3 linked regions of the Macaca mulatta genome follow. The protein of the gene in region 1 binds, or shares a complex with, the protein of each later gene. Links are inferred from orthologs where the notes say so. Each region holds a gene or a part of one and is shown in the gene's direction. Other genes may lie near its edges. The genes, in order: BMP10, BMPR2 and ACVRL1.

Region 1 (2,619 bases):
CTAGAATCATCAACTAATCAATATTTTTAAAACACTACCTCTGTTTAAGCCATCATAGTAGGACAGAGACATACAAGGGAGTTTTGAGCCATTCAAACCAGGAGGATGGCAATCTAGTTGGGAAAATTCATTCATAAAAAGATGGCTGAAATATAAGGATGTAAATGACAAAGATCAAAGGAGATGTAAAGTGCTCAAGTGATTTCAGAGGGGAGGGGAGGGAACTTTCAGATAAAGAAGTAAGGGAGCCTTTTACAGGAGATGTCAGAGCTGGATAGGTGGAGGTGAGGTGAAAGGGCTTTCCAAGGGTCAGAAGAACAAGTGAAAACGTGAAAATTACGGGGAAAAAAGAGTGTTTTGACAGGTGGTAAAGATATCAATGTAGTTGAGACAGAAGGGTTTACAAATCCATTCAATTGTTCACAAATATTACTGAGTAATCACAGTGTTCCGTGCACTGTGGAGGATGTAAGGAAGTTATGTCTGATCAGGAGGCTAAGACCCATGTATAGCTGATCTTGAAAGCCATTCCAGGGAGTTTAAATTCATTCTGTAGGTAAGTATTTCCCATTGGCAGTGTGTGAGATGATTTTAAGTGGTTCCCATAGAAAGCTATGAATCATGTGAAATAATTGTATATTTTTATTAATATGGATTTTTAGCAAACATAAATAAATATCACCTCAAATCTCTCCTTTCATGAATGATGTTGCTTAGGAACATCATTGTAAAGTCTAAAATAGATAATAAGTGTAAAATAATTAGATCAAGTTAAAAAAATATTAAAAGATTATAATCTGGAACAGGGACTCACTGAGATCATGAATTAAGTATATACTTGGAGAAATGTTGCCAATGATGAGGGAGAACCCCCAATTGGTGGTCCTTAGCATCTTCAGTGCCATGGAGCCCTTTGATAATCTGATGGCAAATGCCTTCAGGGCTTCCTTGTAGACTCATTACCTGAGGCAAGTGTACAGGAGCTTTGGGCTAACTGTAAAATATTCAGATAGGAAGTCAACATGATAGTATTTGGAGGTGTCCTTTTACGACTAAAGGACTTTTACAGAGTTGATTCATAAACATTATTGAATGAGTTATATGTGCCATGCTCCATGCTAGGTGCTAGGGGTACAAGACTAAGGCAACCAATCTAGTCCCAGGATTCACTTTCTCCCATTACTCTTTATAGAGGACCATATAACCAAAATTCAATTGCTGTGACCCTCTTGGTTTATGGCTGTCTTATTGACCTTGTCAGGCTTTGTTGCCTAGAACAGAAGTCAGCAAGTTTCTTCTGTAAAGGTCCAGACAGATAATAACGATTTTAAGCTTTGCAGGCTGTATGTTCTCTGTCGTGTCTATTTAACTCTGCCATTATAGTGCAAAAGCAGCCACAGACAATACAAAAACAGTGGATGAGGCTGTGTTCCAATAAAACTTTATTTCCCGAAGCAGGTAGCAGGCCCATTTTGGCCCATAGGCTATAATTTACCAACCTCTGATCTAAATGGAGGTCTTTTAGGAAGAACAGTGCCCAGCCAACTGTGTGGGGATCTCCACCCACTACAAACACAAATATTAAAAAACCATGAAGTCCTCACCCTTGAAAAGCTTCAAGAAAAGAACAATCACATGTCCCATTTGATGGCTCTTTGTTGGTCAGGAAATTTAGGGACTTGCCCACGCAATCTCCAAGTTCTCTCCCAGTTCTGTAATTCTGTGTCTGATGAGCTATTCAAGCAAGGCTGACTGAGTTTTACCCCATCCATTAGACCCCCATTTTCCATTTTAGTCTTGGCAACTGAACTCTTTTGGGCATTCTACCACTGACCTTTCGGGATTTCTTGTGTCACACAGAATGCTGACATTGTGTTTGTCCTCATTGATCTTCTCCCTTCATTCTTTCTGCATTAAGCTTTATGCATGGGAAGGCCTTCTTATTACATAAATAAGCATCTGTTTTTCCCTGAGACCCTCTGCAAACCTGATTTTTGCAAATTTCTTTTTTCAGATCTGTTTTCCCAGCCAGTCAGTTTTAACGGACTCCGAAAATACCCCCTCCTCTTCAATGTGTCCATTCCTCACCATGAAGAGGTCATCATGGCTGAACTTAGGCTGTACACACTGGTGCAAAGGGATCGTATGATATACGATGGAGTAGACCGGAAAATTACCATTTTTGAAGTGCTGGAGAGCAAAGGGGATAATGAGGGAGAAAGAAACATGCTGGTCTTGGTGTCAGGGGAGATCTATGGAACCAACAGTGAGTGGGAGACTTTTGATGTCACAGATGCCATCAGACATTGGCAAAAGTCAGGCTCATCCACCCACCAGCTGGAGGTTCACATTGAGAGCAAACACGATGAAGCTGAGGATGCCAGCAGTGGACGATTGGAAATAGACACCAGTGCCCAGAATAAGCATAACCCTTTGCTCATAGTGTTTTCTGATGACCAAAGCAGTGACAAGGAGAGGAAGGAGGAACTAAATGAAATGATTTCCCATGAGCAACTTCCAGAGCTAGACAACTTGGGCCTGGATGGCTTTTCCGGTGGACCTGGGGAAGAGGCTTTGTTGCAGATGAGATCAAACATCATCTACGACTCCACTGCCCGA
Region 2 (3,655 bases), on another chromosome or scaffold:
GAAGCAGAGTTAGTGACTGTTGATTGACATAATATAACTGTGAATTAACAACAATGACCTAAACCTGTGGCCTTGAAGAAACATCTGCGACTTATTGTTGCTTTTACCTTAATGAATAATTCTTCAGGGAGTTGAGGTAAATCCTTTTTGTTTACTTGTTCATCACCTTTTGAGAATGTTCCTTTATAAATCCTTGAAGCCTAAAATACGTTATTTTAGCTATGTAAAATATACTGGTTAAGGTAATTGATTTTTCTTTTACCTCATGTTGTGAACTGAAAAGTTCAGTATATTTTTTTTTTAAAGATACACGGTTTGACATGTACTTTGTCTTACAGGCAGTGAGGTCACTCAAGGAGACAATCGAAGACTGTTGGGACCAGGATGCAGAGGCTCGGCTTACTGCACAGTGTGCTGAGGAAAGGATGGCTGAACTTATGATGATTTGGGAAAGAAACAAATCTGTGAGCCCAACAGTCAATCCAATGACTACTGCTATGCAGAATGAACGGTAAGACCCTAAGGGGTGTGGCACCTGTCAATCAGTATTAGAAACTGAGACCCAATAAATAACAGAAAATAAATACCTTTAAACCAGCCTAATGGTTCAATGATTATCTCATACAGTCTAAAGTTATCATTTTTCTTTCAATATTCCTATTCTTCTATTGAACATTTTTGTTTGGTACGAGTGCGAGATGAAATCTGCATTTTTTTTATATGTAAAGGTATAGTGAAAGAAGTTAGTCTTTCTCTATTTATGGTCCAACTTTCCTGCAATAATAAAGGTAAAATGTTTCCATAACTCCAAAAGTTCATAAGCACTTCTATGTAAATTGTCTCATTTATCCTTTGTTGTTACTATTCCTTCTTCCTCTGCTTTTTTTTTTAAGTAAATGGAACTATGAACTTGCCTATCTAACCACTGTTTCACTGACACTAAGGTTTCTAGACTTCCTATCTAATGCTCTTTCTTATAGAGTATACTACTACTACTTTTACATGAAAGCAATTCAAAGGTCTTTCTAGTCCATCATTAATACTACTTTACAAGACTTTTTCTTTGCTAGAACTGTGATTTTTGGTTCTAAATAAAAAGGCTTTTTAAAAATTCCTACAATTTGGAACTTTCTACGTCTGTATTTCTTTGTTCCATATTTGGGGTAAAAAAGCCTTTGTATGACTCTGTCATTTTGTCTAATACATGTTTAAAACTTTCAGAAAGGCATCCAGGAAAGGGTTATTGGAGAAGATTGAAATAAAAATAAACTCGATTCTTGAAACTTTTTTTTTTTTCCTGTGTGGTTTTTTGGGGTTTTTTTTGTTTGTTTGTTTGTTTTGTTGTTGTTGTTTGTTTGTTTGTTTTTTGGAAACTGAGTCTTACTCTGTCTCCCAGGCTGGAGTGCAGTGGCATGATCCTGGCTCACTGCAACCTCTGCCTCCTGGGTTCAAGCGATTCTCCTGCCTCAGCCTCCCGAGTAGCTGAGATTACAGGCATGAGCCACCATCCCCAGCTAATTTTGTATATTTATTAGAGACAGGGTTTCACCACGTTAGCCAGGCTGGTCTCAAACTCCCGACCTCTGGTGATCCACCTGCCTTGGCCTCCCAAAGTACTGGAGATTATAGGCGATAGGTGTGAGCCACCGCGCCCAGCCTATTTTCTGTTGTTCTAATTTGTGAAAGCCATTTATATTAGCCATAGGTCAAAAATTTGGTTTGCACTACTTTTATATAGGTTAAATTAGTGTCGGTTATAAACTCTTACACCTTATATATCAGCAAATCAAGAAAGTTAGACACTGGCTATTCTAATTATAAATTTTTTCACTTTACACATACCTGAGGACTGTCTTCTGCTTTCATCTCCCCTCATCTCTGTATTTCAAAACCATGTCCTCTAGTATGATGTTTATACCTCTCTCAAAAGTCAGCTAAAGCTTTTATTTTGAATGCTTTCAAACTTTTCTTGAATGGTAAGAAAAAAAACCCTTGATGGCCCACCTTGATTTGGCCATTTTTTGCCTCCTGTGTCATTCGGCTCAACCTTCTGCATGCATCTTCTCATCTCCAGTCTCTACTAATAATTTCCCCAAAATTATCATTCATCCCATAGTTACTCTAAGTTTTATTTTACTGAATCTTACCCTCCATGTCTTTTCTTGTACTGTATAACAACTTTTTCTTCTTTTCCTCCTGTCATCTCCCTTATAAATAACGGACATTCCCAAGGAATGACAATGACAGCAAAGAACCCATGATAATTGGAGAGCAATTCTGAATCTTTGATCCTTTATTTGAACATCATATTCTGCCTTATACCTTAGGCTCAAGGACTTTTACTGATATGACTCAGACTATCCCAGAAAGATATGCGCCATTACTAGGGTGTGCTTCTTATTGGAGGCCTTTGGAACAACCTAAAAGCTTATATTCTTTTTACCATTTGGCCATTGGAACTTAATTGATAACATAACTTTTGAGTAGGCACCATGCATCTAGAATTATGGAAGTACAGAAAACATATACCATGGTTCTTCCTCTCATAAAACATAATGTCTAGTTATATGAATATACATTTCATAAATATATATTTAATGATGTTACACAACTATAGGGGAGATTTTTAAATTAACTCTTATAAACCAAAATAATAAACATTTATAAAAATTATATCTGATCCACATACATTTTTCAGTAGGCTTAATTCATGTATAACTAACACTTATCAAGTTATTAATTGACACTTGATTATTTGATTAGACTTTTTAACCTTTAGAAAAATATGTGTTTGGAAGAAAATGAAAAACGACTCAGACTTTAAAATCAGAGGTGTCAAACTTGGAGAGACAATTTATCATAAATGTACATTCTCAATGTGATACTTTTTTTCTTTCTTTAAGCAACCTGTCACATAATAGGCGTGTGCCAAAAATTGGTCCTTATCCAGATTATTCTTCCTCCTCATACATTGAAGACTCTATCCATCATACCGACAGCATCGTGAAGAATATTTCCTCTGAGCATTCTATGTCCAGCACACCTTTGACTATAGGGGAAAAAAACCGAAATTCGATTAACTATGAACGACAGCAAGCACAAGCTCGAATACCCAGCCCTGAAACAAGTGTCACCAGCCTCTCCACCAACACAACAACCACAAACACCACAGGCCTCACACCAAGTACTGGCATGACTACTATATCTGAGATGCCATACCCAGATGAAACAAATCTGCATGCCACAAATGTTGCACAGTCAATTGGGCCAACCCCTGTCTGCCTACAGCTGACAGAAGAAGACTTGGAGACCAACAAGCTAGACCCAAAAGAAGTTGATAAGAACCTCAAGGAAAGCTCTGATGAGAATCTCATGGAGCACTCTCTTAAACAGTTCAGTGGGCCAGACCCACTGAGCAGTACTAGTTCTAGCTTGCTTTACCCACTCATAAAACTTGCAGTAGAAGCAACTGGACAGCAGGACTTCACACAGGCTGCAAATGGCCAAGCATGTTTAATTCCTGATGTTCTGCCTACTCAGATCTATCCTCTCCCCAAGCAACAGAACCTTCCCAAGAGACCTACTAGTTTGCCTTTGAACACCAAAAATTCAACAAAGGAGCCCCGGCTAAAATTTGGCAGCAAGCACAAATCAA
Region 3 (3,655 bases), on another chromosome or scaffold:
GTCTGCCCAAGATGGGGGAAGTTGACCTAGTGCAAGCTGAGCCTCAATGTCCCCTCCCCCAGCCACCCAAACTCCTTCGGAGCAGCCGGGAACAGACAGCCAGCTGGCCCTGATCCTGGGCCCCGTGCTGGCCTTGCTGGCCCTGGTGGCCCTGGGTGTCGTGGGCCTGTGGCATGTCCGACGGAGGCAGGAGAAGCAGCGGGGCCTGCACAGCGAGCTGGGAGAGTCCAGTCTCATCCTGAAAGCATCTGAGCAGGGCGACAGCATGTTGGGGGTATGGGCCTGGGGACCTGGGACACAGGGTGGAGTGGGGCAGATAGCAACTGCGGAATCAGAGGGGTCATCCAGAGAGTAGAGCCGGTGGGGAGCTGGGCGAGTGAGGAGCTTGCAGTGACCCAGCAGGTCCCAGGTTGAGGATGGAGAATGGGGCTGCGGCTGGTTAGGGCAGCTTTTGAGTGGACTCTCCATACCCCCAGGACCTCCTGGACAGTGACTGCACCACAGGGAGTGGCTCGGGGCTCCCCTTCCTGGTGCAGAGGACAGTGGCACGGCAGGTTGCCTTGGTGGAGTGTGTGGGTGAGCAGTGGGTGAGCCCGGTGGATGAGGACCAAGGGCTCTCATGAGCCTTGAGGGGTGAGGGAGTTCTTGGCTTCCGGAATCACAGGCAGTGCCAGGCCTGGGTCAGAACTGGAATTCTGCTGGGCAGGGAGTGGGCTGGAGACGGGCCAGGGCTAGGTTCTTTCTGCAGGACCGGGGTGGAACGAGAGGCAGCTGGGGGTGGCCTGCCGCTGGGTTTGGGTCTGGATTAACTTAAACCTAAGGGTCAGGGGTTCTGTGGGTGGGGTGGGCGAGGGAGGCAGCACAGCATCAAGATAAGGGGCTCCTCCAGGGCTCTGTGTGCCCAGTGTGTAACCCTCACCTTCCCCTCTGGCCATCAGGAAAAGGCCGCTATGGCGAAGTGTGGCGGGGCTTGTGGCACGGTGAGAGTGTGGCCGTCAAGATCTTCTCCTCGAGGGACGAACAGTCCTGGTTCCGGGAGACTGAGATCTACAACACAGTGTTGCTCAGACACGACAACATCCTAGGCAAGGGGAGGGGCCGGCTGTGCCAGGCCTGGGGCTTTGCCCTCCTGCACTCAGGGCTCGAATTCACAGACCTCCAGACATTAACAGAACCCTGAAGGACTCCCAGCCCACCTGCAACACCAACCTCTTTTTTTTTTTTTTTTTTTTTTGAGACAGGGCCTCGCTCTGTCACCCAGGCTGGGATGCAGTTGTGCAATCTCACTGGAACCTCAATCTCTTGAGCTCAAGCGATCCTCCCACTTCAGCCTCTTGAGTAGCTGGGACCACAGGCATGTGCCACCATGCCCAGCTAACTTTTTTATTTTTTGTAGAGACGAGGTCTCCCTATGTTGCCCAGACTGGTCTCAAATTCCTGGGCTCAAGCGATCCTCCTGCCTTGGCCTCCCAAAGTGTTGGGATTACAGGTGCAAGCCACTAAGCCAGGCCCAGACCCAACCTCTGACTCCAGCTCTGTCTCTGACCTAAGCCACATCAACCCCCACCCCAGACCTTGCTTAGCAGTGACCCAGCCCATTCCCTCTCCCCCGACCCCACCCTGACCCTGACCACTCCAGCCTCCCTTAGCCCCAGCCCCTTGGCTGAGTCACCCGACCCTTCTGTGCACAGGCTTCATCGCCTCAGACATGACCTCCCGCAACTCGAGCACGCAGCTGTGGCTCATCACGCATTACCACGAGCACGGCTCCCTCTACGACTTTCTGCAGAGACAGACGCTGGAGCCGCATTTGGCTCTGAGGCTAGCTGTGTCCGCAGCCTGTGGCCTGGCACACCTGCACGTGGAGATCTTCGGTACACAGGGCAAACCGGCCATTGCCCACCGTGACTTCAAGAGCCGCAACGTGCTGGTCAAGAGCAACCTGCAGTGTTGCATTGCTGACCTGGGTGAGCTGGGCAGGGCAGGGGCAGACCCTTCACAGGTGGGCACAGCTCGTGCTCTCTCCTCTCCTTTGCCTATGGGCGGTGACCATGATGGGCGCTTGAAAACAGAGGTGCATGTTGTCTCAGTTCTCCTCTGCAAGACCGCATGAGTTGTCTGAACACCCTTTTCAAACCAGACTCCTTCCACCATACCATCCTGGCTCCAGGAGTTGGGAGAAAGGAGGCAGGAGCCAGAAACCTGGATTCTCATTCCTGGCTTCGCTAACTATATCCCTCCCCGGCACCAGCCTCCGGCTCTGCTCCATGAAGTGGGCATCATAATGCCTGCCTTGCCCACTCACATCTCGCTGGGTTCTTGAGAACCTAAAGAGCACTACATAAGCAAAGAGTACCTGGGGCGGTGGTTCTCTCTGTGGTCACTGTCTTCCAGCCCATCTCCATGCAGGTCTCCATCTGCCTCCCCCTCTCTGTCCCACTGCTTCTCTCAGTCCCCACCTTGCCTGCCCCCTGGACCCCAGGTCAGGGAGAGGGACAGGAGTGACAGGCCTCACCCCCACAGGCCTGGCTGTGATGCACTCACAGGGCAGCGATTACCTGGACATCGGCAACAACCCGAGAGTAGGCACCAAGAGGTACATGGCACCCGAGGTGCTGGATGAGCAGATCCGCACGGACTGCTTTGAGTCCTATAAGTGGACTGACATCTGGGCCTTTGGCCTGGTGCTGTGGGAGATCGCCCGCCGGACCATCGTGAACGGTGAGTGTCCACCCTACACAGGGTAGGGAAAGGGCAATTGGCCCGTGGAGCCAGGGGCTTCCTGCCATGGCCAGTGCCCATGGCCTGGGAGGTTTGCAGCCAGACCTCCTGGCACCCTTTCCATGCAGCCCACCAGCTGATTCAGCTGAGTGACCTTTTAAGGTATAAACCTTAAAAACAGATAACGGGGTCTGTGAGTCTGGCTGTGAAATCTTGTACGTGATAATAACAGAAATATTAATAGCAGCTAACATTGATTGAGCTTAAATATGTGCCAGATGCCATGCTATATACTTTACATGTATTATCTTATTTGATTCTTTGATATGGGCAAGGCAGTGGTATTGCTTAGTGGCTAAGACCATAGGCTTGGAATCAGACTTCCTGGGTTCTATTGCTGATTTTGCCATGACCATGGGTAGGTTATTTGGCCTCTCTGTGCCTCAGTTTCCTCATTTGTAAAATGGGGGCGGTGGCTTATGCCTGTAATCCCAGCACTTTGGGAGGCCGAGGCGGGCAGATCACCTGAGGTCAGGAATTCGAGACCAGCCTGGCCAACATGGCGAAACCCTGTCTCTACTAAAAATACAAAAATTAGCCAGCTCTGGTGGCACACGCCTGTAATCCCAGCTACTCGGGAGGCTGAGGCAGGAGAATTGCTTGAACCTGGGAGGCAGAGGTTGCAGTGAGCCGAGATCGCACCACTGCACTCCAGTCTGGGTGACAGAGTGAGACCCTCTCTCAAAAAAAAAAAATTAATAAATAAAGAAAGAAAGAATAAAAATAGCTTCCAGTTGTTGAGATAATCTAAGTATTTAGAACAATATCTAGAGCTAAATATTAGTGGCCGTTATTGCTGTAGATAGAATGAGTGCCTGACCTCATATTGTCCCCATTGTACAGTTGAGGAGATGGGGGCACAGAATGACAGCGG

What was found.
Region 2: the proteins of BMP10 (region 1) and BMPR2 are in contact, whole or in part, in a crystal structure (PDB 7PPA), measured with the Homo sapiens proteins. The link is inferred for Macaca mulatta from reciprocal best matches to the Homo sapiens genes BMP10 and BMPR2. Residues at the interface, in NP_055297.1 of Homo sapiens: Tyr329, Lys333, Asp338, Ser339, Trp340, Ile342, Ala343, Pro344, Pro345, Gly346, Tyr347, Glu348, Glu395, Pro396, Ile397, Ser398, Ile399, Leu400, Leu402, Val407, Tyr409, Phe411, Ala417; in NP_001195.2 of Homo sapiens: Asp38, Ser64, Tyr67, Leu69, Lys81, Cys84, Trp85, Ser86, Ile88, Gly89, Asp90, Pro91, Gln92, Glu93, Thr103, Thr104, Pro105, Pro106, Ile108, Tyr113, Phe115.
Region 3: the proteins of BMP10 (region 1) and ACVRL1 are in contact, whole or in part, in a crystal structure (PDB 6SF1), measured with the Homo sapiens proteins. The link is inferred for Macaca mulatta from reciprocal best matches to the Homo sapiens genes BMP10 and ACVRL1. Residues at the interface, in NP_055297.1 of Homo sapiens: Tyr322, Asn357, Tyr358, Pro359, Ala361, Glu362, His363, Pro366, Thr367, Lys368, Ile371, Leu375, Leu378, Lys379, Ser381, Lys386; in NP_000011.2 of Homo sapiens: His40, Val54, Val56, Arg57, Glu58, Glu59, His66, Gly70, Asn71, Leu72, His73, Glu75, Leu76, Phe84, Val85, His87.

Annotation. Positions count from the first base shown.
Region 1 is NC_133418.1:55,899,603-55,902,221, forward strand, and holds part of BMP10 (bone morphogenetic protein 10), read left to right. Parts: intron 1-2,014; coding exon 2,015-2,619. UniProt on the Homo sapiens protein: Required for maintaining the proliferative activity of embryonic cardiomyocytes by preventing premature activation of the negative cell cycle regulator CDKN1C/p57KIP and maintaining the required expression levels of cardiogenic factors such as MEF2C and NKX2-5.
Region 2 is NC_133417.1:107,760,043-107,763,697, forward strand, and holds part of BMPR2 (bone morphogenetic protein receptor type-2 precursor), read left to right. Parts: intron 1-338; coding exon 339-511; intron 512-2,903; coding exon 2,904-3,655. UniProt on the Homo sapiens protein: On ligand binding, forms a receptor complex consisting of two type II and two type I transmembrane serine/threonine kinases.
Region 3 is NC_133416.1:59,096,248-59,099,902, forward strand, and holds part of ACVRL1 (activin receptor type-1-like), read left to right. Parts: intron 1-62; coding exon 63-274; intron 275-476; coding exon 477-576; intron 577-938; coding exon 939-1,085; intron 1,086-1,691; coding exon 1,692-1,967; intron 1,968-2,523; coding exon 2,524-2,721; coding exon of another isoform or gene 2,722-2,743; intron 2,744-3,655. UniProt on the Homo sapiens protein: Type I receptor for TGF-beta family ligands BMP9/GDF2 and BMP10 and important regulator of normal blood vessel development. On ligand binding, forms a receptor complex consisting of two type II and two type I transmembrane serine/threonine kinases.